Astyanax mexicanus: one gene and its partner. The protein of the gene in region 2 purifies or fractionates together with the protein of the main gene of each other region. This does not show direct contact. Links are inferred from orthologs where the notes say so. Each region holds a gene or a part of one and is shown on either strand. Other genes may lie near its edges.

Evidence for each region.
Region 1: the proteins of dkc1 (region 2) and naf1 purify together in Homo sapiens (co-immunoprecipitation; 7 studies listed by BioGRID and IntAct, counting the BioPlex papers as one, with this or other methods). This does not show direct contact. The link is inferred for Astyanax mexicanus from reciprocal best matches to the Homo sapiens genes DKC1 and NAF1.

What each region holds. Positions count from the first base shown.
Region 1 is NC_064409.1:7,203,822-7,220,048, reverse strand, and holds the start of naf1 (H/ACA ribonucleoprotein complex non-core subunit NAF1), read right to left. Parts: upstream 6,260-16,227; 5' UTR 6,165-6,259; coding exon 6,126-6,164; intron 4,629-6,125; coding exon 4,240-4,628; intron 3,284-4,239; coding exon 3,118-3,283; intron 2,453-3,117; coding exon 2,359-2,452; intron 2,193-2,358; coding exon 2,110-2,192; intron 1,937-2,109; coding exon 1,776-1,936; intron 1,574-1,775; coding exon 1,522-1,573; intron 539-1,521; coding exon 442-538; intron 1-441. Other genes in the region: ttc41 (putative tetratricopeptide repeat protein 41), read right to left, coding at 8,012-8,414, 9,327-9,450, 9,714-9,850, 10,863-11,015, 12,147-12,297, 12,441-12,624, 13,274-13,401, 14,096-14,229 and 2 more. UniProt on the Homo sapiens protein: RNA-binding protein required for the maturation of box H/ACA snoRNPs complex and ribosome biogenesis.
Region 2 is NC_064424.1:18,991,848-19,007,120, reverse strand, and holds the start of dkc1 (H/ACA ribonucleoprotein complex subunit DKC1), read right to left. Parts: upstream 8,117-15,273; 5' UTR 8,066-8,116; coding exon 8,050-8,065; intron 6,247-8,049; coding exon 6,188-6,246; intron 5,409-6,187; coding exon 5,322-5,408; intron 5,271-5,321; exon of another isoform or gene 5,059-5,270; intron 4,901-5,058; coding exon 4,809-4,900; intron 4,769-4,808; exon of another isoform or gene 4,689-4,768; intron 4,612-4,688; coding exon 4,427-4,611; intron 4,295-4,426; coding exon 4,230-4,294; intron 3,494-4,229; exon of another isoform or gene 3,285-3,493; intron 3,199-3,284; coding exon 3,072-3,198; intron 3,013-3,071; exon of another isoform or gene 2,937-3,012; intron 2,849-2,936; coding exon 2,718-2,848; intron 1,571-2,717; exon of another isoform or gene 1,436-1,570; intron 1,348-1,435; coding exon 1,204-1,347; intron 1,047-1,203; coding exon 926-1,046; intron 883-925; exon of another isoform or gene 806-882; intron 733-805; coding exon 614-732; intron 1-613. Other genes in the region: tmlhe (trimethyllysine dioxygenase, mitochondrial), read right to left, coding at 13,153-13,284, 13,388-13,526, 14,043-14,279.

The DNA of each region.
Region 1 (16,227 bases), on a different chromosome or scaffold from region 2:
AAAAGTTCAGCTGTGCGAACATGGAGAACAAAACTCAATTTTTTTTTTTTATTAAAACAATGGTTTTTTTTTTCCCCAGCATTTTATTTTTTTACTCAAAAATGGGGAGTTTTCCAAAGTAGCGAAGTAAAATACTTGTTTTAAAATGAACTTGAGTAAAAGTGAAATTACCTAATTTAAAAACTACTTAAATTACAAATTACTCATAAAATCTACTCAATTACAGTAATGTGAGTAAATCTAATTAGTTACTTTCCACCTCTGCCAGTATCATTTATTTTATTTTAGTCCTGGATATATGGAGATATTTGAAATGTCTTTTTTATTCAGTTTTTTGTCATATCACTCATAAAAATACCATGAAATATCGTGATATTATTTTAGGGCTATAAATCGCCCATCCCTACGAGGCACAGAGCAGTGTTTGGTGCTGTGACTGACCGGAGTCCGACTCTTCTCGGCCTTGCCTCTGTCTCCTCTGCTGCTTCAGCTTCTGCTTGGCCACTTTCTCCTCTTCATCATCACTGAAGTCCAGAGCCTGCAAACCAACACAGACCAACACACCACCATTAACACAATAAACCCAAATCAGCAATCTCCACAGGAAACACACGCCCTATTAACTCATTCACACACTACTCAGCAGGGAAGCAAACTTCAGTCCCAATCTCCACTGATTGGGGTTCATAGCTGTCTGGTACAAATTATCTAGTCATTGGTTGCAATTACATTAGGTCAAAGCTGCAATCACAATATAATTATAGTCAATCTACAAACAGCATTATTGATGGTATAGGCAGATTGCAAGCCTAAAATTGCTACTAAAGAACAAAAATGGTACTTCCAAGATCAGTTGAAAACTTAGGCTACGCTCACATTAAAAACCACATTGCTCAAATCCGATTTTTTCCTCAGATCGGCTTTGGCTACCTTGACGGTATACATTCACATATGTAAGTGACCTGTATCTGTGTGTAATCTGTGTGTTCACTAACAACAAAATAAATCTCATATTCGAGAGAAAACTTGTAGCTTTATAAAGGGAAATTGATTTGTTTGTTAGCAGCTGATATGTGGAGCATCTTGTGCTGGAGTGGAGAGTAAACAGCTGCTCTGAAGTTCATGCTCAGGTTGAGGAGGTGAAAAAAGGCCAGGTGGTTTGCTTTTGCTGTTTTTTTGCAGCTATATAGCTGCACAGCTGCACCAAGAGATGTGTGGGTACGAGAGAGAAGCACGTAGCACATGATTGTAAAAAAAAAAAAACGCATGAATTCAGTTTTGACCGTTCATAATTATGTCTCATGTCAATTGGATTGGATATGTATCCAATTTTGGACCACATATTAAAAGTGACTCAAAAATGATTTTTAAAAAAATCTAAGCAAAAAATCTGATTTAAGTCACTTCAGCCTGATAATGTGAACGTAGCCATAAATGCTGACAATGAGCAGCATCGTAAAACCTGATTGATAAATGTCAAAATATTTACAGAATGGCAGATCATTAAAGCAACACATTTACCTCTGGGGGAGGCTCCTGATCATTCTTCCAAGAAGCATCTGATCCTTTAAATCTACAGCAAGAAAAAAAACAGAATATTCATCAATAAGAGCAAAAACAGACTGCTGTTTGTGATCAAATGCTAAAGCTAACATAAGCAAAACACCAACATAAGGTATTTAAGTGGTAGTAGTTTATCCTTGAGTCTTTACATCCGAGTAAATATGACTGACTGAGAGCCATGTCCAAATATTCAGAAATGACGGATTACTCACTTGTTCAGCTGCTCAGTAAAGATGTAGTCTGTGAAATCTTTGATATTTGGAGCGAAGAAAATCGTCTCCCCTACTTTCAAGTTCTTCTGTTCAATGTCTTCGTGAGAGTTGAACCTTAAGATGTAGTAAGGCTGGAAAACTGGACCAAAGACCTCAAACACCTATAGAAACAAACAAAAAAAAGGACACAAGAGACACACTACTGACTACTCAGCTACAAAGACAGTAACTCAACACACGATTAAAGTCACAATGAATGTAGATCAGAAAGAGAGCAATTCTAATCCTAAAAACACTAAGAATATGAAATATCTGAAGCATGCTGAGGACTCACCTTCCCAATAGCTGTCCTGTCTTTGTTGAATAGGACACTGTCTTCATTCAGGGGTTGTGAGTCTTTCATTGATTCAACAATTACTACCAAGCAATACAAAAATCAAAACAACAGCAATATATTACTTTATATGACTGATATATTAAATTAATCATTTGTTATCTCTTCCTACACAATTACAAATAAAATTATACATTGATCCATTAAACAATGGTTTGATTGGTACTTTGAATGCCACAGTAAGAATACCTAGTTGATCTATGATGCTTGAAACAGTTCCAATGGGCTCAATCTGTGTGTCCTCAGGAAGGCTGATGTTCAGATTTTCCACTGCAGGGAGATCCTACACACAAACAGGACGGACATCAGTAAGAGTTTAACAAGACCAATTGTCCTACCCAGTCAGCTACAAGTCAGCTGTATATCCCCGAGTAGCTTCACAGCATGCTCGGAGGAAAGCGCAGCAACACATCAGCTCACAGACGACTCGTGCTGATCGCCATCACCCTAGGAGTGATGAGAGAAAAAAGCGCCATCTACCCAACCGGAGAGAGAAAGGTGCAAGCTGCATGACTGGGATTCAAATCGGCAATCTCCTGATCATAGTGGCAGCACTTTAGACCCTCTTAGTTAGAGTTAACTAATAACACCATAGTCCATATGTCTACATAGAGTTTAGCAACACACATTGTACAGCTGTTAGAATTAAAATTAAAGTAGAATTAAAACTGAAACTGAATATTATTAGTATTTGTTTATTACCCCAGTGTCTATTTCTCTATTTTATATATTTATGTATGTCTCCGCTGCAATTGAAGTGTCAGAGATAGATAATTTATTGATACTTTATTGATGCCAGAGAGAAATTACAAAAAAGATCAGATAACATGATACAGATTATAATAAAATAAAAATAAAGTATAAAAGTAGAGCCTTTTAATGTATGTGTGTGTGTGTGTAGTGTGTGAGGTAGTGCAGTTAACCACAGTAAAACAACAATGACCTCACCTCAATCAGCAGCTCATCCTGTGTCTTGACTGGTGGTGGCCTCTTCCCAGGAGCAAGATTATTTTCTTGGTCATCGTCTTGATCAATCTCATTCAACACTGAGCAAATGACTCCAGATGAGGAAGAGGAAGATGAGGAGGATGAAGATGAAGAAGAGTCTGAGTCACTGAAAAGGAAAAAAGTCTCTCACAAAAATCGATAGAACATGAAACAGCAGATTTGTCTGTATACTCAAAATATGGCTGATATATATATATATATATATATAAAAGTTTAGGTGCCATTTTTTTTCCATAAAACTAATGATTCTATATACACTGCCCAGCCCCAAAAAAGTCTCCACCTGGATTTAAGTAAGTAAATTATGTGGGGTTGGTTGGTTGATGCTGAAGTTGGTCTGCAGGTTTAGGTTCAGCAACAGTATGTGCTGAAAGAATGAGGTCAGCTGACTACCTGAATATAGACCAGGTTATTCCATCAATGGATTTTTTTCCCCCTGATGAACACGGCCATATTCCAAGATGATAAAAAATGTCAGGATTCATGGTGCTGGAATTGTGAAAGAGTTCAGGGTTCAGGGAGCATGAGATCATCGTTTTTACACATGGATTGAGAGAGTTCACCACAGAGTCCAGATCTTAACCTCATTGAGAATCTTTGGGATGTGCTGGATGGAGAAGAGCTGCTTTGTGCAGTGGTCAGACTCTACCATCATCAATGCTGCTGCAAGATCTTGGTGAAAAATTAATCCAGCAACACTGGATTTAAAAAAATCTTATGACATTGCAGAAGCTTATTAAAACAATGCCGCAGTGAATGTGTGCTGCAATCAAAGCTAAAGGTGGGACCTTTTTTTTTTGGTGGCGATTTTTTGGCCAGGCAGTAATGAAGCAAGAGATAAAAATAAATAATTTTAAAAACAGAATGTGTAAATAACTATGTCAGGTTACAAAGTTCATACACAGTTAAAACCTCTTGAAGATTGTTCTTTATAAACCATTAAAAAACACTGTATACAGGATCTACTAGTGTGAATTAGTGAGTCCGTGCAGTTTTTATAAGTACAGTAAGTACAGTAAGCTCGTTATGATGTATAATTTAAGTGTTTTGTGTGTTTTATACCTGTCTGAGAGATCTTCAGAGCTGTCATCTCTGTACTGCTGGCTTAACAAAGTCAAAGATCCTCCACCGCTGATGGGACTCACTGTGGCTTCACCCACAGCCTCGTTACAAGAGCCAGAACATGGTTCTTCTTTCAGGTCAGATACTATTATGTCCATGGGTTCATTTTTCTGTGAGTCAGCCTCTGCTGTAGCTGCATCAGGTACAGCATCAGGGTTCTTTAGTGAGCATTGTTCTGTAGCACTGTCAGTTTCTGGCTTCTTATGTTCATGTAGATTGTGATCCACAGGTACAAATTTAGGGCTTTGTTTTTCTGTAGCACAGCTACTGTCTTCTCCCGCTGATGGATTAACATGTACAGGTGCATCCACCGGCATATCTGCTTGTGGCTGAAAAATAGTGAATAACACATACAGGAAAGATGTTAGGATGTTAAAAAATATATTTATATATTTACAAGCAAAAAAAAAAAGAGTGGTTAATTCACTAAATCAGAAATGGGGCAACTCTAGTCCTGTAGGGATGAAGACCTACTTAATCCAGCACACCCGATTTAACTGTTAACTACCAGCTTTAATCAGTAGAGATTTATTTTGTGTTGACATTAGGGGTGGGCAATATGGCCCTAAAATAATATTACAATATTCCAGGGTATTTTTCGATAATGATATTCTAGATATATATTTAATTTTTTAGTGTTATTGCTTACAATATAAAATGGCACACCCCAAATTGAGATTTTCACTAGATTGTAACAGAAGACAACGATCAAACACTAATAGTTGAAAACCGCTGGAATATAATCAAGAAGAAGATGGATGATCACAAGCCATCAAACCAAACTGAACTGCCTGAATTTTTGCACCAGGAGTAAAGGCATAAAGTTATCCAAAAGCAGTGTGTAAGACTGGTGGAGGAGAACATGATGCCAAGATCTTGGCTGTGATTAAAAACCAGGGTTATTGCACCAAATATTGATTTCTGAACTCTTAAAACTTTATGAACATGAACTTCCTTTTTCTGCAAATAAATTCTTTAAATAATGTTTTTTTTTTATTTGGGAGAAATGTTGTCTGTAGTTTATAGAATAAAACAACAATGTTCATTGTAGTCAAACATAAACCTATAAATAACAAAATCAGAGAATCTTATTCAGAAACTGAAGTGGTCTCCTAATTTATTCCAGAACTGTTTATCCAGCAATTAAGTAAATAAATGATACAGGACAGATATAATATGTCTGGAGTAGATTTTCTTTAATAGGACAGACAGCATAAAGGTGTAACACAGCAAACAACAATACACTCTAGCTGGTGTGTTAAAAACAAGCAACATACTAAACTATGCAGGGCATGAGGTCTTCACTTCCAGGATCAGAGCTGAGAATCTATATGCCCCATGGCACTAATCTCACACAGAGATCTAGGTTCCTGCAGACTTCACCTCCAACCCTAATCCAGTCTACCTGATCCACCTAATTCCTCCCTCCACAAGTCCTGGCTGCGTCCCAAACCACATACAAGCTACTAAATTACTGTAATGAATGTAGCTACTTGTATCTAGAGTTTACCACGTTTGTCAATTTGCCAATTAGCTAGTAGTACAGCTGTAAGCACAACACTTTACAACTGGACTGGGTGGGTGGTGTTCTCTGAACTTAGATAGTAGCTGTTTGTGTTTTTTATTCAGTTTTCTAATCTATATAAAAATCAAACCAGCCTAATTGAAGTAAGCGATGGTAATTGTAAAAACGAAACAGACTCAGTAGCAGTTCACACTGTAGTAGATTAGTAACAGTAGTTCTGATAAGCTAAACTCTACAGGTTTAAACACTGAACACATTACTGAAGTCTAACTTTCAGAGAAAACTGATTTAGATCCGGTACCTGTGTGTCTGTGAGATCCTCCCCGGTTAAACTCTCCATACTGTCTTATTTTCGGGCTGTTGACTGAAGCTGGATTCAGAAACACTCAGGCATGCTAGTCACACATGTGGCACAAACACGCTTTCAAGCGCGCAGCTTCCGGAGACAATATTTATTTCAAAATAAAAGTCACCATATTCTCTTCAGTCGTTTCCTTAAAACAAGGTAACTTTATATTTAAACTCACGATATGATGTTAAAATATATTATTTAAAATAATAAGAGATGGGTGTCGGTGTTCGTGGTGGACATATATTATTATAATTATTATATTGTGATAATTATTAATATATTATTTAAAATATTTTCACGTCTTTTACACCTAAATAGAACATCATCAGTTAAAAACCTGCGAAAGCATTCGCAGATTACTAGAACGCTTTTTTTGTTCTGTCTGCAGTGAGTGAATAAAAAATATTAATATACTCGGGTATTTTAGCTCATTTATCATTTTATGCATTTTATGTCTAGGTTTTTTTTTTATGCATTTATGTTATAAAATAAAGTTTTTGTTCAACTGAATTCCATTGCTTGTGTTTTTGTACCCTATAGGTGTCAAAAGTGTCCATTACCGATTTGAGAGGCAGCAGATAGAGGTGGATCATAAAATACCATAAAATAAAAAATCCCCAAAATATACCCAGCTCCAGCCCAGTTCGCACCTACAGAGAGAAATAGCTTCCTTTTATTAATTAAATTAATTACATTTTATTAAATTAAATGGATTGGCCAATCTGTCATAACATTTTTGAAATGTAGTATTTTTTCTGCAAAGAGCAGGGGTTTAAAAATCTAAATTTACACAATTAAATTTGGCCATATATGTATAAAAACTGTATAACCCAGCAACACTAGTTTATTGCAGATATTACAGTCAAACCTCTAAAATCCACTGATTTTGTCTATTCGCATAGTGTAAAACATGCTGTCAGTGACTGAAATAAATATATATTTATTTTTATTGCTACTTTTATGAAATATTTATGGTTCCTGACCGGCAAACTCCTGTCGGATGATCTTAAAAGTATTCAATGATGTCTCTTCTTCAGTCTCTCACTTCTCCATCACGCACCTACAGTGCATGCAGAATCTATCAGAGTACTTTAAGGCAGTGTAAAATAGTCCAGCGCCCTCTAGAGCTCAGAACCAGCATCAGCAGTAACTACACAATAATCCGCCCAGCAGAGGGCGCTGCGCCTCTTTTACCAATACAAAACAGTTTATTTTACAACAATAACCAATTCTGCATCTAAATATTAAAATTTATGCAATAAACAGGTTATTAAATTGTATTTTTTTATATATTTTGCATTCAAATACAGCACCAGTTAAAAGTTTGGACACACTACTTCTTATTCAATGTTTTCTTTATTTCATTAATTTAAGTCATTTATTTCTCTATTGTAGATTCAAATATTAAAGACATGAAAGTAATTTAGGGACACATAAGGAATTATGGACTAAACAAAAAAGGTGTTCAGCCTCCACAATCCCCTGATCTAAACCCAAGATGATGAAAAAAATACTTTAGGTGACTTTACTCTACCTCATGAAGCCAATGAGTGTGCAAATCTCGTTACATTTACAATTTTAAAAAATCATAAAAAGAAAGAAAACACATTAAATGTGTATCTAGTACTGTATGCAGTATATATATATAAATATTTTTTGTTTAGAGTCTGTAAAAAATGTAATAGGTCATTATAAATCATAAAATAAATGCTAAATATTTGGTCTAAACTATATACAAAATTGCCCGAAATTTGTCAAACTGCACACCAATCAGTTAATTGCATCATTGAATCAGATTTTAAATCATGTGAATAAACAAGAAATGCAATGCAGTCCTAACGTGCTGATTTCCTGTAAACATACATTCCCATTTGTCTATTCAGTGCCTTCACTGCTTCCTCCTGGACACGGCAGCGGTCAGGCCTCTTATCAGACCCCTCCTTAGATGAGATTTTCCTGGACCCACACACCTCTTCTCTGGGTACCAGAGTCCTGATATCACTCTGAGGCCCGAACACACTGGTCTGAAATGTTGTCCAGGGCCGGGTGAGGGTTTTCTCTATGTTCTGCTTTGGCTCCAGAGGTGCTGTGGCAGGTCCAGGTTGTGTAGAGGTCAGTCTAGACTGATGAAGCAGGGGGGATTTAGTGAGGAGTCTACTGGTTAAACAAGCTCTTGATCTGGAAGCTGCTGGGGTGTCCAGTCGCTTCTTAACTACTGAAATATCTGTGTTAAAGACACTGAGAAAAAGACAAGAAATGAAAAATTAATATTTCTTACTTTTAATTTAAGTTATGGAACATTAAAACTCTAAAAGTTCACCAAACATGGCTCCGCTGATAAGCTACATTTGTTGGTAATAGATGAATTATGTAAATTAGATACATTTAGGTCCAAAAATAATTGGACAGTGACTCAATTATTATGATTTGAGCTGAGATGCAACTAAAGTGTAGACTTTCTGGTCTAATTCGAGGGGCTGAATAATAATATTCTATAAAGCATTAGAAATTTACAACCATTTTTATCCAAAGCCTCCTCATTTCAGGGGCTCAAAAGTAATTGGACACATGCATTTCACTCACTTAAGACAAAATAAAAGGTAGAAAGACCCACTGACCAAGAACAACTGAAGACAGCTGCAGTAAAGGCTTAACAAAGTATCATAAGGGAGGAAAACCCAGTGTTTGGTGAACATATCCATGAGTTCCAGACTTCTGGCAGTCATTGCCTGCAAATGATTCTAAATAGAGTATTAAAAATGAACGAAAATTTGATTTATGGTAAAATCATCATTTGTCCAATCCAGTGTGGTGCAATGCAGAGTCCAAATCATGAAGTTTGGGGATAGAAAGAGAAGACAAATATATATTTCACCTTGCAATATGGAACATTTCTGAATATGACAGCCCCACATATTTTTCAGTCAAAGTTGAAGACAGTAAACAAGAATAAAAACTTTTCTTTGGCAACTTAAAATAAAAAAATTTCTTTGGCAACTTAATTTCATTTCTTAATATACATTCATTCCTATATTTCAGACCTACAAAAGCTTTTACCATGTTATAATGGTTCTATTACATCTAGCAACAAGTTCAGTACTTACAACAGCATATAGTACAATCAATATAATACATAATGAATGGGTTTACTGTTGCCTGTGTCTGGAGAGTGGGTGGCCAGCGTTGAGAAGGTGAGTCAGGTCAGTAGCTCTCTGCAGTAAACTCAGAGCTTCTCTCCTTTCAGCCGCACAGGAGCTCTGCATTAACACTTTACCTGGAGAAAGAACAAGGTCAGTGAACCACTGGAGGCAACATAAGTCTGCAAAACTGTATTCTTTGTTTTTTCACATTGCATTGCATTGCCACAGCCAATCCCGGCCACTATTCCCATATATTATAATCAATCTCTCCGGGTAATAATAAAAAAATTAAATACTTAGAACAATATATGTTTTTTTAACAATATGCTGCATTGTATCCAGTTAAAATCACTTGGCTTTGTAGCATATAACCACACCAGCCCCTTTTTTCACTCACCGAGTTTAAGCAGAGTGTTGGTGAGGTCCTGCAGCATGGGCCTGGACAGGAAGGAGGTCATCCCCCAGCTCTTAATCACTCTTTCTCTGACATGGATGACATGACGAAACAATTCAGTGGCCTTCCTCTGAGTCCAGCTACAGGAAAACATGAAAAAAGATCATTTTACAACATTCTACATAGATATATATATATACAGCTCTGGAAAAATGGGATCACTTAAAAACGATTGTTTTTGTTCATTTTACCAAATAAAAAAAAACTCTGGAATATAATTAAGAGGAAGATGGATGATCAAAAGCCATCAAACCAAACTGAACTGCTTGAGTTTTTTCACCAGGAGTGCAGGCATAAAGTTATCCAAAAGCAGTGTGTAAGACTGGTGGAGGAGAACATGCCAATATGCATGAAAACTGTGATACAAAATCAGGGTTATTTCACCAAATATTGATTTCTGAACTCTTAAAACTTTATGAATATGAACTTGTTTTCTTTGCATTATTTGAGGTCTGAAAGCTCTGCATCGTTTTTGTTATTTCAGCCATTTCTCATTTTCTGCAGATAAATGCTCTAAATGACAATAATTTTATTTTGAATTTAGGAGAAATGTTGTTTGTAGTTTATAGAATAATGTTCCTTTTACTCAAACATAAACCTATAGACAGCAAAATCAGAGTCTCAGTTTTCCAACCAATTAAAACAGAGCACAATTACAAAACTACCTTTTTAACTCTTAAGGATGATGACAAACAGTCATATACAATGAAATCATAAAATAAAAATGAATAATAGATAAATAGAACAGAACAATATTAGAATGAAATGTATTAATATAATTATAAATAACAACATATAGGGTCCAATGCCTCTGTATGTAAGCCCATACTTCAACACTATCAAATTTACATTGCTATCATAATTAGCATCAGTTGTATAGGGCCCAAAATAGAACCCTGTGGAAATAAATATAAATATTTAAAACATTTTAATAAATATTTGAATTTTATAGTATTAATGAAATATTTTATATATCAGTGTTTTTCAGTCTGTGTCCAGATGAAGCTCCATGATCTAATCCCATTTTTTGTAAACTGTTAGCAGTGGGATAAGTAACACTGATGTATGCATATAATCTCCTGGATCTCTCACTCTTTGTCAGTGTGGTTGCTGTCAGACCAAATGTCGGCCAGCTGCTCCTCCACTGCTGCAACCAGGGGATGTTCAGTGCCATACCAGCGCCTCCTACTGGCCAAAACCGCCTCCACACAGCTCTCAGCTGCACTCAGCTCGCCAACAGCAAATCTGCACATAAAAAACATTTATACCTCATAAATTCCAAACATTTATCTATAATATGTTGATTTTTTTCTTCCAACATAAAATCTTTAAATGTTTGAAAGCACTATTTCTGTTTTGTACTAGGGGACCCTTTGTCAAATTAGATGTTGTTAGATTTAGATTAGATTATTGTCTTCAGACCACACGTTTTTTAAATTCAAAATAAGTGTCTCTATAGAGCGTTTACACTAAACAGATTTGGGATCCAATAATAAATTACTATTAAATTACTATAGTTATTATTATTTATCTATTCATTTTATTATTGTTATTATTCTTTATTTTGTGTATAATTGTATGACTATTGGGATTTAATTTCGTTTTTATTATTATTATTATTATTATTATTTTGTAGTTATCATCAGCCCTGCTTTTGCTTTATTATTATTTTTCCCCCTTTTTTCTTCCTTTTCTGGGTGTGTTTGGGTTATAATTTCTCTCTGTTATGTACAATTTTGTCTTTTGAACTTATTATGAAACAAAAATGTGACTAAATCAAATATAAAAACATTATTCAAAATAAGTGTTAGTTTGTTTAATTTTAACAAAAATGCAAACTTAAATGTGTCACGTTATATGTGTGTTTTCTAATTTAATATGTTAAATCCAGCAATAATTATTGGTTTCCAGGCATAGACCTTCTTTAACACTTTAACACGCTGTCCACATACTTTCATTTGGGTTAAGGTTAGGACTTTGGGTAGTTTTAAATAAAAGTAAAACTTTTTGTAAAAGCTTAAAGCTAGCCTGCTTTATTTTTTTTTCACAAACCCTCTGATGTGCCGGAACAGCCGGCAGCATCCATGTTTCAATGATGGGGTAGTCTAAAATTGTCTAGAGCAGTCTTCTTCATAAATTTTGTATCCACTTTGTGTCATGATGCGTCCACCACCATGCTTTACAGTTGGTACAGTGTTCCTGGGCTTGAGTATATAGCAGGCTTGTGCCTTTGGTAGTTGTTCCTGACCATATAATACTACCACTGTTCCTGAATTACAATGGGCTAACAATGACTTACTAATAATGTTACTGTCAGGAATTATTAAAATAAACAGTCTGCAGTTGATCTACGTATTGTTGCATATAATCACGTACTTGTATAGGCCTTGCAGTAAAGTAACAGTAGCTTCAGCACATGGGTGAATGCACTTGAGGCCAGTACTGCTGATTTCCTTTAAAAGTCCAGGAACTGTATACAAACAGCCTCTTTTCAGCTCTATCTGAGACAGAAAACACAGAAACTGCCCTGAAAAAGAACAAACATAAATACAGATGAGCACATCTACACACATATTACTGTAACATCCATAACACAATACACAAACACTATACAAACTGTATATCCACAGTTATGCTTTACTGCAGACTGACAGATCCTGCATCTGCTACCTTTTATCATCCTGATGTTCTCTGAATGAGAAGAACTGGAAACTGTAAGGATGTCTGCTGTTTTTAAGCCTTTACTGCTGTACAGCTCTGCCTCGTCCAGCTGCTGCATGTAGAAATAGAACTTAGCCAGCATGTTCTGCACTTCCAGCAGTGATCTCACGCTGTCTTCATCCAGCTCATCTGCCTGCAACATCAATAACAATATCAGAGGGGCTCCCAGTTGTCCAGCTAAGCATTGCCATCAGCTGCCAGAGCCCTGAGAGGTGGGTAGATGGCACTCTCTCCCTACAACACTCCAAAGGGTGATGTCGATCAGCACAAGGCATCTGTGAGCTAACGTATAAGAACCGCGTCGCTGCGCTTTCCCTTCATGCGCACTGTGATGCTACTTGGCAATGCTGCCTCAGCAGCAGTTCAAAAAGAGGTGGTGACTTTACATGTAGTGGAGGAGCCTTCACCTTACTTTACTATTGATAGGGGGAGTCCTAATGAGTGGGTTGGGTAATTGGCCAAGTAAATTGGGGAGAAAATGGGAACAAATCTCAAATTTAATCTAAAAATTATTTAAAAAAATACACAATATCAGAAAGATTTCTGAAATGTGTTGTGGGAGAAAACCTTTATAGTTACAGACAAAATGTGGCCTATGGTGCTCATTCAAATTTGAGGGTGACAAATTTAAAAACATAAAGCATAGAAATTCTAAGTATTAGTATTAGTAAAAACTAATGGTTGAAACACTATTCTTCCAAAACACAGTCTCACCTGTCTCACCTGTCTGTATATGTCCATGTACAATTTTAATATATTGCAAAACAAATAGAAAATCTCACCTGTTGAAGGACAGTTTCTGCTTCTGACAGTATTTTCCCAGCTTCTTCAGGCTTTCCCAAACCGAGCAGAAGGTCAAAGGAGAAAAGGGCTAACTTAACCCTACTGCCAAGATCTCGCTTACCACAACCTAAGATCAAATAGAAAACAATGTTCCATCAGTAGTATCTTCAGTAGATCAAATAATACCAACTTAAGTCATGATTTTGAATTAACTTAATCTTATTAATTTGGTTAGAAAATAAATAAATAATTAAATAAATAACTATTGAAAAGGGCCTACTCTTACAGTGGTGCCACAACAGTCCCTAGAGTGAAGCTTTTTGGACTAAAGACCATTTATATAAAGGTGTCCTATCACTAAAATCAACTTTTTCTTGTACTTTGTGAAATACAGTAGGTCTCTCTGAGTTGTATATAACGAGTCGATTTCTTTCTTTCTGGACCTGGACTACGCACCTCTGTGTGTAAGTAACTATAGGTTAAAATAGGTTTACTCTAAGACTAGATCAAAGGCTGAACTGCACTTAGCAGAGCATTACACATGTTGTAAAAATTAAAAAATGTCTTTATTTTAAATGTTTCAAACTGTTGTCCGTCTTGCATGTGTCACAGTGCTGTTAGCCAATCAAAGGGCGATTGATATGTTTGCATATATGAATATGCATGAGCAAAAGTCAAAATCCTATCGTTTCTCCCCCTCCACTCCTCCACAGGACTAAAGTAGCGTTATACCGGATCATCTGAGCACTTTTTTTTTACTTACATAAATACATTTTAAATTATTTAAATAAAAGTGACAACATCTCTGACTCTGTTCTGACCATTCAGTACAGTTGGTCTCTGGAGTGAAGAGACGGGGTCATACTCTCTTTGGCTCAGCAGCGTCCAATAACGAACAAGATCAAGCCTCAGCTGTGGGTACTGCCTCACACTGCTCGACAGGATACACACAGCTCTGTGGAAAATATGGTGATACGTTATCTGTACATGCTGATTAACATCAATGCAGTGTCGAGTATAAAATCTCCTGCTTATCTGACCTTATTTGTCTACCCTGAGTGTAACAGTCATAATACAGTATATTGCTTAAAATACTTTTGTGTACATTGTGGTAGATTTTCTTTTAAGAATGTAATGATTTACTACACCGTATACAGTGCCAGGGACAACTGATGACACCTTTTTAGTAAATGTCTTTATGTTTCCTGTCCATTACAAAACTGCTTCAGCTCAGTAAGAACTACACAAAAAAGTCCTCACAATGAATAAGCAGATGTCCCAAGTCTCGCGGAAGTCTACCGCATATCAATAACGGCTCCCTGATGCCCGCAAGTCAGATAAAATCTCCCAGAATCTTGAACGAGTGGCCCAAGATTGAAAACAAATGCTCACTTAGGCAACACAGACTTACTTATCCAATTGTTTTCTCTAAAAAGCTAATTACATTATTTTCTTCAGTTCTTTAAAGCATTGTTTAGTTATTGTCTAAATATTTAATGTAATAAAAATAAATTAACTTAAGCCTTACTCTGGGTCAGAGAGGACACTATATAGCTCCTTAAAGGAGCCAGTTTGTGCCAGATGCCAGGGTAGTTCCTCCAGCTTCCTTAGCCAGCCACAAAGTCCCTTACTGCGCTTTTGGAAGAACTCAGCAATGATATGATGGAAGTCGCTCCGGCTTTTCTGTTTGTCTGCAACACCTGAATACACATGAAAAGAGCATAATACATAAAATACCACAGTTTCTACGGCATATAAACTTGTACGCTTGAAGCTAAAGTCTGCAGGTTTTTAATACATTTATTTCTGTTACTTATCCCATTTTCTCCACAATTTACATGGCCAATTATCCAACCCACTTATTAGAAGTCACCCTAACACTAATAATGCCCCAACACTAGGAGGGTAAAGACTAGCCCATGCCTCTTCTAATACATGTGAAGCCAACCACCACCTCTTTTCGAACTGAGTAGCCAGTGTGCTCGGAAGAAAAGCGCAACGACTCGGTTCTGATACATCAGCTCACAGATGCCTTGTGCTTATCGACATCACCCATTGAAATAATGTGGGGAAAGAGAGTGATCTACCCACCCAGAGAGAGCAAGCCCAATTGTACTCTCTCAGGGCTCCAGCAGCCAAGGTCAAACTACAGATTTGGTAACTTCTAACAAGTGTTCAAACTAGAGTACAGAAATATATAGCCAACAAAACCAACATATTAATCTTTTTTCTTGGACAATTACAGTATGTTGGCATCATGGATCTATACTTACCCAGCAACAGCAGGTCTATAGCCTGGCTAAGGGACTGATGGTTAAAACACAGGCAGCCGTTTGGCTTCTCCTGGACCCATGGCCCAAAGGCAGTGAGTAACTGAGCCCACTCCAGAGTCCGGATTCCTGAAGACCCACAATGACCCAACTCCTCCAAGAGAGCCAGTACCTCTGCCTGAGTCAGCCCAGAGCGAGAGACATGAATCAGGCAGAGTGCATCCCACACCCATCCTCTCAGCTCCAGAGGAGATGAAACTGCTGTGATCAGAGCAGGAGGACAGCAGAGGTCAGTGTTCAACAAACAGTGTTTTTCACATGATAAAGAGTCAGTTTTACTGGAAAACTTAAAACCTCACAAATGCATTATTGCATTATTATCTGTTATTATGGAGCTTTGTGGGGCATAATGGGGGCATAGTCTTCCATTAATTTCTAGACACAGTATCCAAATGATAAAAACAGCATTAGAACTTCAAATATGGAAAGAAATTAACCATAACCAAATAATCATTTAAAGTGATGTAAAAGGTTGGGATGTAAATAATAATAGTAAATCTCAAAATATGTTTTCCTGTTAGACTGTTTCACCTTATTTTACAATTTTTCCATCTCCACTAATATTGAAAATAACTTTCTAATGTTTGAGATAATTTACTGTCATGCCAAAAGTTCCATGTCCC
Region 2 (15,273 bases):
AGCAATGTTTTAAATTAAAATATATATCTTTGCATTAATACTGATTAAAGTGCACTTTAGTGTAGGTTTTTTTTTATTCTTGTAGCATTAAAGCATTGATGCACAAAGCAGTACATTTCCAATATACTTGAACTGTATAAAAATATACAAAACCTACTTAAGTTTGCAGAACATATGGAAAAAAACAAACAAACAAAAAACACCCAAACCACAATCTAATGTTAGTTGTATTTAAATACAAGTTAATTACAATTGATATATACTTAAGTTGTTTCAAAGTAGTACGTTTTGTATGCATTTATGTATAAATTTTATTGTTGAAAGTATTTACCTTTCCACGTTAATTATACTTTGAAATGATAAATGATACTTAAATGCACATTTCATTTACAAGGGGCCAGAAGCAATTTAAGTGTAAAAGACTGCAGCAGCAGTAAAACTGTACTGTGTGCATGCAACTTGCTTGCCCTCTCCTAGCACAGAAGAGAAAAAAAAGTTCCACTAAAACTGATAGCTACAACTATCATGTTTTTTTATTTTATTTTTTTAATCTAATGAGTTGATAATATGGATCGTTTAAAATATAAAAAGAAATCTTGCAGGAGAGCCTTACCTTTGGCCCCAGTCCCCATTTGCGTGGGTAAGTGTCTCTTTCCATGATGACCCTCTTGATTTTGGCTACCACACCGTGGTCACATGTAGAGATGACCGCAGTTGTCATCAGAGCTACCGCTGCAAAGTAAATCAAACTCTATTTAGACTCGTCAAAATGTTAGTTAGTTTACAGACAACTGGAATAGACAACAGCCATCAGTCTTGGGTGATAGATAGGAAGTCATCTTTACACAGAGTGTTAATGTAATCTATAAATCATCATGTGGCATCTGTCTAAAATCATGGATCTCAGTGATGATCTGGTATTTACCTGTACAAATTGCCTCTCCTTTAGTTGTAATGACAACAATGTCTTGGTTCATCTCAATGCCATCTTCATACCGTAAAACACCTGGCAACATGATCTTAGCACCATAGCAGATAGCATTCACCTATAAGAAAAGAGGGAAGTTAAAAACCGGTCATGTCTTCATAAAGAAGTAATGTTTCTTTATACAATTTTGAGAGTTTAAGGTTGAATACAAAATCAGATTTTTTTTTTTCCATTTAGACAACAAAGTAGTTTAAAATACACAGAAAATCACTTACTGCACTGTCCTTCATCACAATTCTCTTGTGACTAATGAGCAGCTTCTCCAAAGGATAGATGACTCTCCTCAGGTAGGTCTCATCTTTGTTGTGGTCAAACTGCCACTGGGCATCTAAAACATCATGCATGGTCACCATGCAGTCCTGTCAGAAAGGAATTCATTAAATTAGAAATTAGAATCTGTTAAGATATGTTAAATCGGACATATTTAAAAACCGGCTTGAGGGTAGAGACTGTTGGCCAAGATATGGTGAAGCAGCTAATTCAAGCTACTTCAGATTCAGAGTTCACTTAGCCATATTCTGTACCAAAGAATAATTACCAGCACTGGGGAGGGAGCCCAGAGCTGAACTCAACACTTTGGTCAGATGCATAATAATAGCAATCACAAACAAAGATTCAAGAATTTACACATTCACACATCTCCATTATAAAAAAAAAAAAAAAAAAAAAAAAAAAAAAAAACAGAACCAATGGAGCTTCTACAACACTGTTTAAAGAACCATTTAAAGCACCTTAATAATCTTCCTGCTGGCTTTACCACCAGGAGGATGAAATTCGGCTGGTATTTTTTCATTAATGTAAGCTAGTAAAAACGTTTTATTTTTCATTTTGATACTATGCAAAGGTCTGAATGTGTGGAGAAAAAGCAGAGCAATTGGAGCTAGCCCAATAACCCTGATATACACATCCAGAGTAACAAAACTGGGGACGCAAAAAATGGAAATTTGACTGAAATCTGAAAAAAAAAAAAAACTTTTGGCTGAAGGTCAAAATAAACTGTCATTTCCTTTTTAGTGCACTCATCACTATTGCACTATTGTCTTGTGTCTCACGTGTGTCTATCTGTAACCTTGTTGTATTGTACTTACTCTCATTCTTTTATATTTAGATTTTTATCTTGCTGTACTTGTAGCAACTTTGGGAAGGAGAGTAACTTAATTTTAATCCTCCGTATGTCCTGCATATATGCAGTATTGACAATGAAACTATTTGATCACTGTGCATTTACAATAAGCATCTAACTATATGCAAAACAATTTAATCATGAAGGTCTCAAATTTATCTGCCTTTTTACAATTTAGCTCAATGCCTTTTTTTTTTTGCTATTATCTGATATATAATTTTTGTTTCCAAATATGAAGCTCTTTTAGCTAAAGTAAGCTGTATATAATCAATAGGAACTTCACAGGTAAGAGGTTTTCTTTTTTTTTTTTCTTGAAAAACAAATCATATACAAGAGTCAAGACCTTTGATAATTTAATTAAAATAAATTGTAAAAGTCACTGGAACATTTAAGGGGCAAGCATGTTCTTTGTAACAAGCTACAACTATCAATGAGCATTTCAATAATATGGAGGGGGAAAAATATATATATAAAAAAAATATACTAGGACCATTAAAATAGGTATAAATAGGTAAACATCCACACATTACATAGCTGGGCTGCAGTCTTTGATTTTACAAAAAATACCACACAAGTAACTTGTAAAATTTTAAATCTGTAACGTACCTTCTCACCCAACACTCCAGAGCGAACCCTCCTGAGCTCCTGCATCTGGCCACCCACTCCCAGCAGCAGACCAAGGTGAACACACAGCGTTCTGATATAGGTGCCTGCCTCACAGCTTACCCAGAAAATACCTGCATTGTCAACCATAAAAACAGTCAGAGCTTAGTGGTGGTTGCTCTTGGTCAGACAGCTGGAAAAAGTGTGCATAAAATACATAAAAGCCATCAGTCTAGGGTGATAGATAGTAAGTCATCTTTGCACGTGTGCTATTGCAATCTGTTTCACATCATGTGGCTTTTTAAAAAGAGTAAACAGTATCATCTTAGCAAGAAGATGAAGAAACAAAGTTCATACCAAGTCGTCTCTCCGGGTCATACTCAATCAGCTTGCTTTCATAGATGGTCCTAACTCGGAGCTGTCGCTTCACTGCAGCTATGAGAGGAGGCCTCTGGAAGAGAGCTCCAGTAAGGCATTCCAAAGCCTAGAGACCAAAACAAGCAAAATCCTGTCAAAATTTAATTTCACTGAACCTTTGCAATCAGTCATTCATAACAGATATGCAGATATGCAATCAGTCCCGTCAACTCGTCTTTGGTGAACTCTGGCCCTCCAAACCTGCATGGGCCTCCAGCATCACCTGCAACAGTAGAACACTGAAGCAGAGAAGAGGAGGCCGGCAGAGCCAGAACTCAAACCTAGAACAGGTGAGAGCTCTGGCGATAGAGAGGAGGGCCTGGAGACACTCAGAGAATGGATAAACAGGTTCATCATTTTACATACTGCATTTGGTCATATATAAATAAATACACCACAGCTGGAACACAAGCTTACAGTCTTTGTAGTTTGCACCAAATAGCAATTGTTCACTTCAATGACCTCAGCTTTTATATGCTTATATACACCAACATAAACCGATTAATATGCATAGGTAAAAAGAACATTTCAAAAAAACAGCGGGAACTGTAGTGGTTTAATAAAATGGCTATGCTATCTGTATTCTTGTTTCAGTTCAAAACCACAGTGCATGTAAACAATCCCAGTAAATATATATTTTTAATCTATCCATTAATACAGCCCCCCCAAATACGGTTATTTTAGACTAAGGTGCCCAAAAGTATGAAGGTTTAAATTTTTAACTGACAATACTTTAAATGAACTAATTTGTATAATGCAAATTTTAGAGACAGAACTAAATCTTTTACATACAAAACATTAATGGGTGGTCAATACAAGACAAATATCAATTTAAAGATACTAATCTATTACTCTCCCATTGTTTGACTAATACTGATGGATAAAATGAGGCCAATAGAAAAAAAAAACAAGACAAAGTTGATCAGTGTTCTTTAAGCACTGATAACCAAAAAAACACCACCAGAAACATAGTGTTAGTCATTAAAACAATGTATAATATATTTTAAATTTAAATAAAGTTCCAATTTGTTTCCCGGTTAGTCCTTAACATCAACAAACAGGTGTTATTTTACATTCAACACATACGCTCTCACTTACCCTTGCAAGCTGATGCTCATTTTCTATTGCATTGTGCAGCCGTACTATTCCCACATACTCTTTGCCTGAAACACACGGCAAGAGTAGTAAGGAGAGGCCACTGGTTTCACTGGGTGAGGTCAGACTCACTAATCACAAAACCAACTAAACAGAAATTCATAGAAAAAAAAGAACAAAAAAAAAAAAGACTAACTTACCAGCGCTCTGTTGAGACTTGACAAGTCGTGTGGCTCGGTCAACACACACAATCAGGCAGCCTGTGACCTTCGGGTCCAGGGTGCCGCTGTGGCCGGTCTTCTCCACACGCAGGATTCGTTTGATCCAGGCAACCACTTCATGAGAGGAAGGGTTAGCTGGTTTGTCCAGATTAATAAAGCCAGACCTGAACACAGAAACGTAAGATTTTAAAGTACTTCTACCAGCTCAAATAAAAAATATATATATTTTAATTTTACTATAAGCCATCAGTCTTGGGTGATAGATAGATGGTCATCTTTGCACAGAATGCTAATGCAATCTATATAAGATCATCATGTGGCTATTTTGAATGTGCTGCCTGTTAGCCTTATATCAGCTTACCGGACATAATCGTGAATGTTTCTCTTCAGTGGGTTTGAGCCGTGTGGCAGAGGTGTGTAATGTGCCGTCCTTATGTTCAGCTTGTCGAAGTTCTAGATGACAAAACAAAACAAAAAACATTAAAAGATAATCAAACAAGAACAAACAAGTACTAAAAACTTAGCTTGCATAGTTATTTATTTTAAATCTTAATCAATATTTATGATTTAAAGGGATATTAGCGTTAATATTCTCTAAAAATCTAAAAGTGGTGATCAGAACAGTCCGCTCGTCTTTGTTGGCGCTGGTCTGATCTCCCCACACCGGCTGTTCTGAACATCCCACCACTGCTCCAGTAGAACACTGAACCAGCAGAGGATAAACAGGCAACCGTAACCCTGCAGCCCAGAACGGACAGCAGAAGCCGCAGAGAGACAGAGCCGGCAGCACTCAGAGAATGGATAAACACGTTCATCATGTCACCTGCTGAGTTGGCCATGAAGGAAGACTTAGGAATTTAAGAGGAACAGTTACCTTCAATAGTAAAGGCCATTGAGAGGTGTCAAGCTTGGCAACTTTGGATTCAGGTTTAATGAGGAAATCGCCAGTTTCTTGGATCTCCTGAGGGCCAAACACAAAGCAAAACACATGATCAATGTGACAAGAAACAAAAACATGCAATGTCTCTCCCTGGCATATTATCTAAGAGCAAGTACTTAACAAAAAATATCTGCTGAGGTGTTAAGTACAACAAGTACTAGTCTAAAACTGCTCATTTGTTTTTTCTGGGGGTGATTGGGATATGAAGTTCTCTAGATTTACTGTTTATAGGCATGTGGTTTTAGCACATTGTTTTATTCATAAATTACCCATCTCCCAGATTCCACATAAAAATTTCATTCAATGCTTTCAGACTGAAAAATGCAAAGTCAAGCTAATATTCACATTTAAACAATGCTAATGTTCTGCCTTTCAGTGAACTTTACATTAAAAAAAAAAAAAGTACAAAAACTGTATTTGAATGATTATCCTTGATGTGACAGATTTTATATCTTGGCATACTCTACACCAGTCTTTAACATTACTGCTGGGTGATTTTACAAACAAAATTACGAAGCTTAGCTCTGCTAAATGAAATAATTGGAACAGAACAGCTGTCGTGTTTAGACAATATAACTGAAACCTTAGCTAGCTGTCTAGGTTGGTAATTATTTAACTGTTTGAAATTCTTTACAGATTTAATTCCCCATTTGGTTTAGTTACAATAAAAAATAGCATAAAAAGTCAGCAATAAAAGATATCAAACAAGCTGGTGTGAGATTGGTTAGTCCAACCTAATACTCTGACTTTAGATAACAAAAGTATTAACAGTATAATGGTTGATCAAATTGTCAAATTACCCCAATTTCATCATTGGAAATCTTTGACTTCTTCTTCTTCTCCTTCTTAGCTGATCCAACTGTGAAGGAAAAAACAACTATTAAAACAAGCACATTCAGCGAGATATTACCAAAGGACTTGAGCTCTACTGCCTAAACCTAAAAATGTTGTCTACCTACCCAGACATGTGAATTCTGGGTTAAATCCAGTGTCTCTCTCACGTGTATACCTGTCAGTATAATTATTTATAATTTACAGAGTCTAGCCACCTTGGTATAACATTAAAGCTAATAAAACTAAAGAGAAATATCTTAAATGTTTTAAAAGTAAAGCAGCTAGTAGTGGCCAACTATAGTAGCACAGCCAGCACTTGCTTAGTCCTTTTTCGACATAAAACAAATACGTCAGGCTGTATCAGTTTGAAAAAGAAGAAATTGATTTTCATACATTTTTTTTTTACTATCTAGTTTTTTAATTTCAGCCTTTCCCAAACAGAATTTCAAGAAAAATGAAAATCTTTTCTTTATTCTCATTTGACCATTTTTGTCTCTTTCCAAAATGGAAAAATCTGAAAATAAAAAACAGATTAGTTTTCATTTTTCCAGAAAACGAATTGGAAAAATTACACTGCACTACATAAAAAATTACACTCAATTTTCCATTTAGCCTTAACCACTCAGAAACACTGACCACGTTTCAAGAGACTAGGTAACGTTAAATGGTTAAGTTTCTTCTAGATGAGTTAACTAGCTAATTAACTGGATTGTGCAATCCATATTAAGAAAAATAAATTCACAACATTAACACTTATAAGAGAGCAATCAATTTAAATTAAAAACGACAAAAAAACAAAGCACAATGCTTCAGCATTTTCTTTACAGCTTCATGTAAAAAAAAAAAAAAAAAGCTGTGTTAACATTGCAAATTCAGTAGCCCTTAGGTTTTTAACTATTTAATACTTTCATTTTCTACCCCAGCTACACAATATAAATTATTCAGGAATGTTCAAATTTTGGAATAGAAAACAACCAACTGTACTAAACATGCAATGTATTAATAGGTAACTTAGTTAACAAATTGTAGCGATTTAGTGCCTTGGTGGTACAGCACCCACGTGGCGAACGCAGACAACACGTGGTGCACAAACCCAAGCTAGCTAGCTAAAATAATTTCCAAGACTAATTTAATAAATATTCTCTCTAAACTAATAATCATCCTTAATACGGCATTATCACTGACACGTTAAAAATGCATTAAGCTAGGTTTGTCAATTTAATTTTGATGACTAACTTACTGGGGAAAATGTAGGCAGTTAGCCAAGCTAATCTAGCCTAGCTAACGCCAAGTTCTCTAACCGGGTGTTAGTAGGTGAAAAATACTACGCTAGTTATCTTTGCAAAATACCATAAAATAAAGCGATGAAATAAAATATAGAACTAACACGAGTTAAAGTCAAGCTACCAGGCTTTTACACAGCTAAGCTAAAGAGTTTTGCTGGTAAAAGTCGGCCAAGTCATGCACCTCAGTGAGCTAAAGTAACCTTCAAACTAAGCTAAGCTTCAAAATACAAACAATCTAAAACATTTAAACAACTTTAAAAGCATTTTAGCTCCATTAAATGACATAAGCTACTAATTCTGCTCAAGCAAAGAGTCTTTAAAACTGCAGCTAGCTCCCCAAATCTCAATCTCCCCTGCAGCTGCGCCACCCTGCTCTTCATTTTCTCTACCTTCAGAGGTCTAACTATCTATTTACTAAGCTTTACACAAAGCTAAAACATATTAACCGCGTCCTAAAGATGCAGAAACTCACAAACGAAGCTATACAACACAAAAAAAGCTTTAGAAATAATATAAAACACAGAGTTCAACACTGCACCCACTTTCTCCGTCCGCCATCTTCCCCTGCTGCCCGCCGAAGACCAGACCAGCACGTGTGAAGACTCTCACAGAGACCCAAGTCTCGCGGGATAATTCTGCCTAATCTCGCGATAAGAAGGAAAAACGTTTTTATACAATGCTTGGGCAGCAGGTGGAGACACATGCCGAGAGATAAAGCTGCTTAATGTTGATGTATATAAACGAAGTACATCTTTATTGTACTTAAGTACTAGAATTTTATATCTAAATATCTGAAGTATCCGTATTTACTCTGGTATTATTTGTTTCTCCTGCTTCCACTTTTTCTCACTACATATTTTCAATTAATGTAACACTTTTAATCTAATACGTTCTTATGTGCTGCATCCAGAAGAGGATCTAGGATTTTTCTGAGTAAGGGGCCACAATATTTATAGAAGGGCCAAGTATTATTTCACCAGTCACACCATGTTCAAGATAATTTTATGTCAAAACTTTTACACAAAACAATACAAACAAAATAACATGAAATTGAATGCTACTAATGCAGCTGCCTTCAGATTGGACAACAGCTATGATTTAAGACGCAGTCCAGTGTACTTCAGTGGGAGAGGGGGGGCTATAAAGGAACAATATGCATGCTATATGCTATGAGTACGCAACCATTAAGATCATAATACTTTTCCAAGTGTACAGTAGTGACACAGCTATCCAAACAGACTACACTGGGAGACGGAGGCTATATAAGGCATGATAGTGGTTGAAGCAACTGTGACTTGTTGACAACTGCCACTAGCTGAGTAACTCATTAAACGGCTCGTCAGAATGATATGCCGGTAAAATTGACTGCAGTTGTAAGAAATCTTATATTTAGTAAAATGTGTCTAAAAGCAAAAAAAAAAAAGGAAGGAACCCTAATTTACCATGCAAATTTCAGACACATGCTAGGAGAAATAAACAATTCTTCTAGTGTAACTTTCCCAGTGTACAGTTGTGACTGCCTGCCTGCACAAACTGCAATGAGAGATGTGGACTTTATAAGATACGATATCCGCATGTATTTACATCATGATGGTGAGTCCTCAAAAACTCACAAAAACATCAAACCAACCATACTAAAACACCACAACACCTGCATAGCAATCCTCCAATCAAATTAAAGGTGATGTCTGTAAGTTTTGGGATTTAGGGCCCTCTCTGGTGAGAATGGGTAATTGTACCGAGCATGCGGAAGAATCATTTTAAACTGGTCGGGTGTGATGAGGTCTCCTTTCAGAGCGGATGAATCCGATTCCAGGTTATGTTCAGTCAGAGAGAGAGAGCGTGCTTAGTAAGAAACTTCACTTCTTCGTTTCTTTGGTTTTACTCTGGGTAAATGAGCTACTGAGCTCTGATTTCCCCTTCTGAAGTCGCCATTGCTCCACCAGCCACTCGCGTTCAGTAAAACTGAGCCGGATCCTCTTTTAGAGGCTGTGAATGTGACGTAAAGATGCGTGACATGGTCAGAAGAACTTCTGCGAAAAGTGACCCGACAGCCCAGTTTTAAGAATTAATATATTAGGCTTAGCAGGGATGATCATTCCAGCACACTGGTACCATTAAACACAATATTTTATCCCTTCACCACTCAGAAATGCTTCTGCTTTCAGTTTAGAAACACAATAATACGGACTGCCACTTTAACTAGATAGAAAATTAAATGCACCAATCAAATCTTCAGAAAAATCACTGGAGAGGAGTAAACCCACTTCTGTTCAGAATCTGTTCTGAGTCTCTCCGGCCACCAGGGGGAGTCCTGAAATAAGTGTACAATGAACAATGAATATTATATATACATGATCAACATTTCCCCAATAATAGGAGATGTAATGACAGTTAGACAAGACAAACGAAAAAAAACAACAACAATGTATGCAAGCTGTAAAATATATTTATTTGCATGGGGTGGTTTTGAGGCTTTAGTTGTGTGTACAATCATTTTTTTACACTACAGTAAAAATACAGTAAAAATAAAATGCCTGCAGCAAACAGACCTTCAAATGTACAAACTGCCTATTATTCTTCAGCAATTTGGGATCGTACCTGTTATCTGTACAACACATCGTGACATTACCAAAAACATTGACTTTGCTCTTCACAGTTTCCTTTGCTCACCCTGTATATGTATCCCAAATTCTGTGTCAACAACAGACCTCACAACCATTTTACATTATGGAACATGGAAATAAGAACTGCTTAAAATGTCTGTAAGCAAGTGCCTGATCACAGAGCAGCACAACTGATTGTATTTTTATTAAAATCACCAAACTGCAAAAAGCGGCAATTAATTAAACTGTCGCTCAAATGATCGTTTTTTAATTTAACAGTATTTAATTTAATTTAATAGTGAAACCTAGCTAGCTAGCACTCTTTAAACCTGTGTTAAGAAATGTAATTTTTACACTGACAAGACAAAAGTTATGGGAAAACAGAATGTAAATTGAAGTGTTACCACAGACAACAGCTTGGGAAAGGTCACACCTGCATAAGTTTTGAGTGAAGCTGAACACTGGCTAGACATGACAAAAGTCATGGGACACAATACTAGACACTGAACCATGAACTGTACCATGTCAGCGCATTGTATTATAGCAAGAATTATTTGACTAATTGACATTTTGTACAATTGGTGGATGTGTATTTTATAGTGCTCAATTTATTATACAATAATTAAACAATTAAGTGTTGTTTTGTTCTGAAACCTATGCGCTTTCATATCTGTGAACTTTGGACCAGCAATCTTAAGCATATCTAAGATGATATTTAAGATAGCTGTAAGGGGAAAACATATGAATTAAGAAAATGCTGAAGAAAACAGATTTATTTTGGCCACGTTTTGCATTCTAAATAGCTACAAATATTTATAAAATTCTATTATATACTATTCTGACCGCATACTGGACAACTGGACTATAGTCTTTAGTGAAATATAAGCTAGTCTTTAGTGAAATATAAGCAATACGCTGCCACTGACAATAAGTTACTTGAGGTTAAATCACAACATGGTCAAAGGTGGAGGAATGCTGATCACTCCCACATTGAAGTAATCTCCATTAAATCTGCTGCCTGTTCTGTTATCAGTTAAAGAACAGGGTCTGGTTCAGCAGCACAGGAAATAAACTCCTCCTCCTCCTCCTCCTCTGATGATGATGATGATGACTGATCCCCAAGAACTTCAAATCATCAGCTTCCTGTTCACACTGATTCATAAGCTTGTTCCATTTCAATATTAGGATTATTATTAAGACATTTGTTCACATTTTACCTCCTGGTGTTATTATTTTTCATCCCTTACACATTCCAACTAACGTCTGACATGACTGGCGATAAAATAAAAAAAAAAGGTTCCTTATTCCTTATTAGGGAATATTACAGAAAAACATACATTTAAGCACACACATTGGGTATCTGGAATGCCTACCAACGCACAAACTGTGAAATTGTACAGTCAAAAATTTTCATTTTGTGGGACATGTAGGAGATAAAAATATGTATTCAACATGCCATTCAAAATTGTCACAGTTGCTACGTCGCTGGCCATCTGATTATAATTACACCACCCCAACCATAATAGCTCCACCCACTTACTTTGAGAAGGTAGAGTTTCAAAAGATAAAAAACTAACAAACAGATACAAAACAAAAGAAAACAAAAAGCAACTGTCAGTTCATAGGGTGTGACTTCTTTTGGCTATTCTGAAAATATACAGCTCTGGAAAAAAATAAGAGACCACTTAAAAATGATGTGTTTTTTTATTTTACCAAATTAAAAACCTCTGGAATATAATCAAGAGGAAGATGGATGATCACAAGACATCAAACCAAGCTGAACTGCTTGACTTTTTGCATCAGGAGTGGCATATAGTTATCCAAAAGCAGTGTGTAAGACTGGTGGAGGAGAACATGCCAAGATGCATGAAAACTGTAATTAAATTTCACAGTTATTCCACCAAATATAGATTTCTGAACTCTTAAACTTTATGAATATGAATGTTTCTGTTGTCTTTGCATAATTTGAGGTCTGGGAGCTCTGCGTCTTTTTTGGTATTTCAGTAATTTCTCATTTTCTGCAAATAAATGCTCTAAATGATAATATTTTAATTTGGAATTTGGGAGAAATGTTGTCTTTAGTTTATAGAATAAAACAACAATGGTGATTTTACTCAGACATATAGCTATAAAAAGCAAAATCAGCAAAACTGATTCAGAAACTGAAGTGGTTTCTAAATTTTTTCTATAAGTGTATACCAAAAATTGATGACAAAAAGCAGAACATGAAGATGAAAATTGGATGCATAGCACCACATAGAGAGAAGATAGATCTTAAAAGACCATAATGAAAAAAGAACACATAAAGGTTTAATCCTAAATCATACACTACTCCCTGGTACTATAGTATTGAAGTGGACTATAGTACCGTCATTTCAATAAAGAATTATACATTTGTAATTGAACAAAACTGACAATTATTCATGTAAAAATCAGAAGTCTTTAACTATCTGTACATACAAATGTAGTTTTATTTTCCTTATATACTTCACTACGTAGGGAGTGTACAGTATTTGATATTCAGCAAGAATTGTTCTTAAAAAGCTCTGTTTTCTTCATTTACAAGACAACACTGAAAAGAGGGTTTTCGAAAATGTCCACCTTTTCAAAAAGCTTAATTTTCAGTAAATGTTGGAAAAAATAAAACTTAAACTAGAAAAATAAACTTAAAAGTCTAAGAATCCGTGTAGCAGAGAAGAGTGATAAATATGGAAAAACGGTGGGGGAGGTTGGAATAACGGTGGTCTATTATCATTTAAAGATAGAGGCACTCAAAACCGCTGTTCTAAACAGGGTTGTAAATGGTTGATGTGGTGCTTCTTTCTTGTGCTATTTTGACCAAAGCCTGTCATACACATTTCATTAAGGCCCAAAGTAGCCGTGACATTTAAGGCCACCAGAGAGACAGACCCTCTAAAAGTTCTTAACCTTTGATTTAAATGCACAAAACATGTATAAAGGATATGACTGATCTGTACCGATTACGCTAATGCTATTTCCGTTATCCTTTGGTGTGTCCTAGTGTTAGCTGTTTGCTGTTCAAGCCTGAAGGCCGAGGGAGCGGGCTGTGTTGAGCACGTCGTCTCTGGTCAGATAACAGCCACAGAGCTGGCGGAGCCCAGTGAAGGACTCTCTACCATGCAGCACTCTCCAGTTATCAATGAAAAGAACCTAAACAGATAGAAAAAGATTTTGCTTCTTTAGTTTTACACAAAAGCCAAAGCCTAATCTAGCTACTAATGTAGCTCACAAGTAAAAAATCTTGCTTGCTTACCTTGCCAGGTTTAAGTTTGACCCACAGCTCGTTCTCAGGCTTCCTCAGCTCAGTAGTTAGCTGTCTGTGGGCGACATACCAGCGCTGCACCACGTTGTGAGGAACCGTGTTCATCGTTGCACGGTCATAGTTATTATACCTAAACAACAAAGAGGCATTATGACAATATCATTATCACAGCATAAACTATTGAATATCTCAGTCAAAAAACACAGACCAGCTAGAGCAGTGCTACGTGCAGAAGCTCATTTTAGTGCTTCAAATCAGCCTTAAACAACATTTGTATTTGCTGGTGGACATAACAGCATTGCTTTCCCACATCAAGAACCCATGCATCAACAACTTAACAATGAATGCACCATGTCATGCCTTTTTACTAACTGTGAACTCCTGCACCAGTAAAGATTTACAGAATCAATTTTGTCAAATCCAGAAGACAAGCCAACAACTCTCTTGCAGCTTTAAGTAGGCAAGTCATTTGATGATTCGATGATAGTGTGCAAATCGAGTAGCTACTCCCATCTCATTTAAGCCACATTTTTTAAAATCTGTGTTATAATTTATTTCACTTTTCCATGTCCCATCTTATCTGAATACAGCTTGAGACTATTTCTACAAAGAGAGAGCTTGAGTAGTCAGTACAAGTTTTGCCTACCGGATCATGTAGACTTCATTGTTCCAAGGATAGACGTTCAGAACAGGGCCGATGCCGATCATGTGGTTTCGGTGGTGGCCTTGGTTCTCGATGTACTCGTGTTTGATGGGGACGCGTGAGAGAAGCTCAAAGTTCTCAGGTGATTGCTGGAGCACTTTGTCAGCAGCGTTAAATCCATCCACCAACAGAGTTCTGCCGCCTGTGCCCTCATGCCTTAGACAGTGGAACACCTGGATCCTACCATGAAGCCAGAGAGGGTAAAAAGAGTGTAAGTGATGCACAGAAATGGACAGAAAAAATCTACAGTGTTATTAGATTCAACTTTTTTGTCATTGTTCAGAGTACAGGTACTGAGCTATTGAAATGCATTTAACATATACACAGCTCTAGAAAAAAAAAAATAAGAGATCACTTCAGTTTCTCTGATTTTGCTTTTCATAGGCATATGTATTTGCAGAATATGACCTCAAATAATGCAAAGAAAACAAGTTCATATTCATACATTTTTAAGAGTTCAGAAATCAATATTTGGTGGAATAACCCTGTTTTTAATCCTCTTGGCATGTTCTTCTCCACCAGTCTAACAAACTTCTAACAAAGCTTTTGGATAACTTTCAACAACTCCTGGTGCAAAAATTCAAGCAGTTCAGCTTGGTTTGATGGCTTGTGATCATCCATCTTCAGTTTGGGAAAATCAAAAAGAAACTCATAATTTTGAGTGGTCTCTTATTTTTTTCCAGAGCTGTGCATATATATATATATATATATATATATATATATATATATATATATACACACACACACACACACACACACACACGCTTTAGATAATGCCATTCTAATCTATAAGGTGCAGTATTTTAAATTTCAGTAAATGTGTGCTTTGGCAACCAGGTAAAATGGCAATGCCACAAAATAATCAACTGTTTTAGCTAAAAAGGGTAGGAATACATAATTCAGTGTGTACATTATTTTTTAGTAGATTTTATATTGTTTATCTGTTTACAACTACTCTTTCTGTCTTTATCTTTATTGTATATCATTGCAGATACCTCATTATATCACAGATAAAGAGAGAAAGCCCTGGCAAACAGCTCAGGAAATGCTCATTAATCAGCTGCAGCACCTTATGCCTATTTACCATCTATTATCACCATTATTGATTTTTCTTTCAGAAGGAACATGCTGCTTCTAGTCATGTTTCCTAGCTACAGCCATGATGTCACAACCC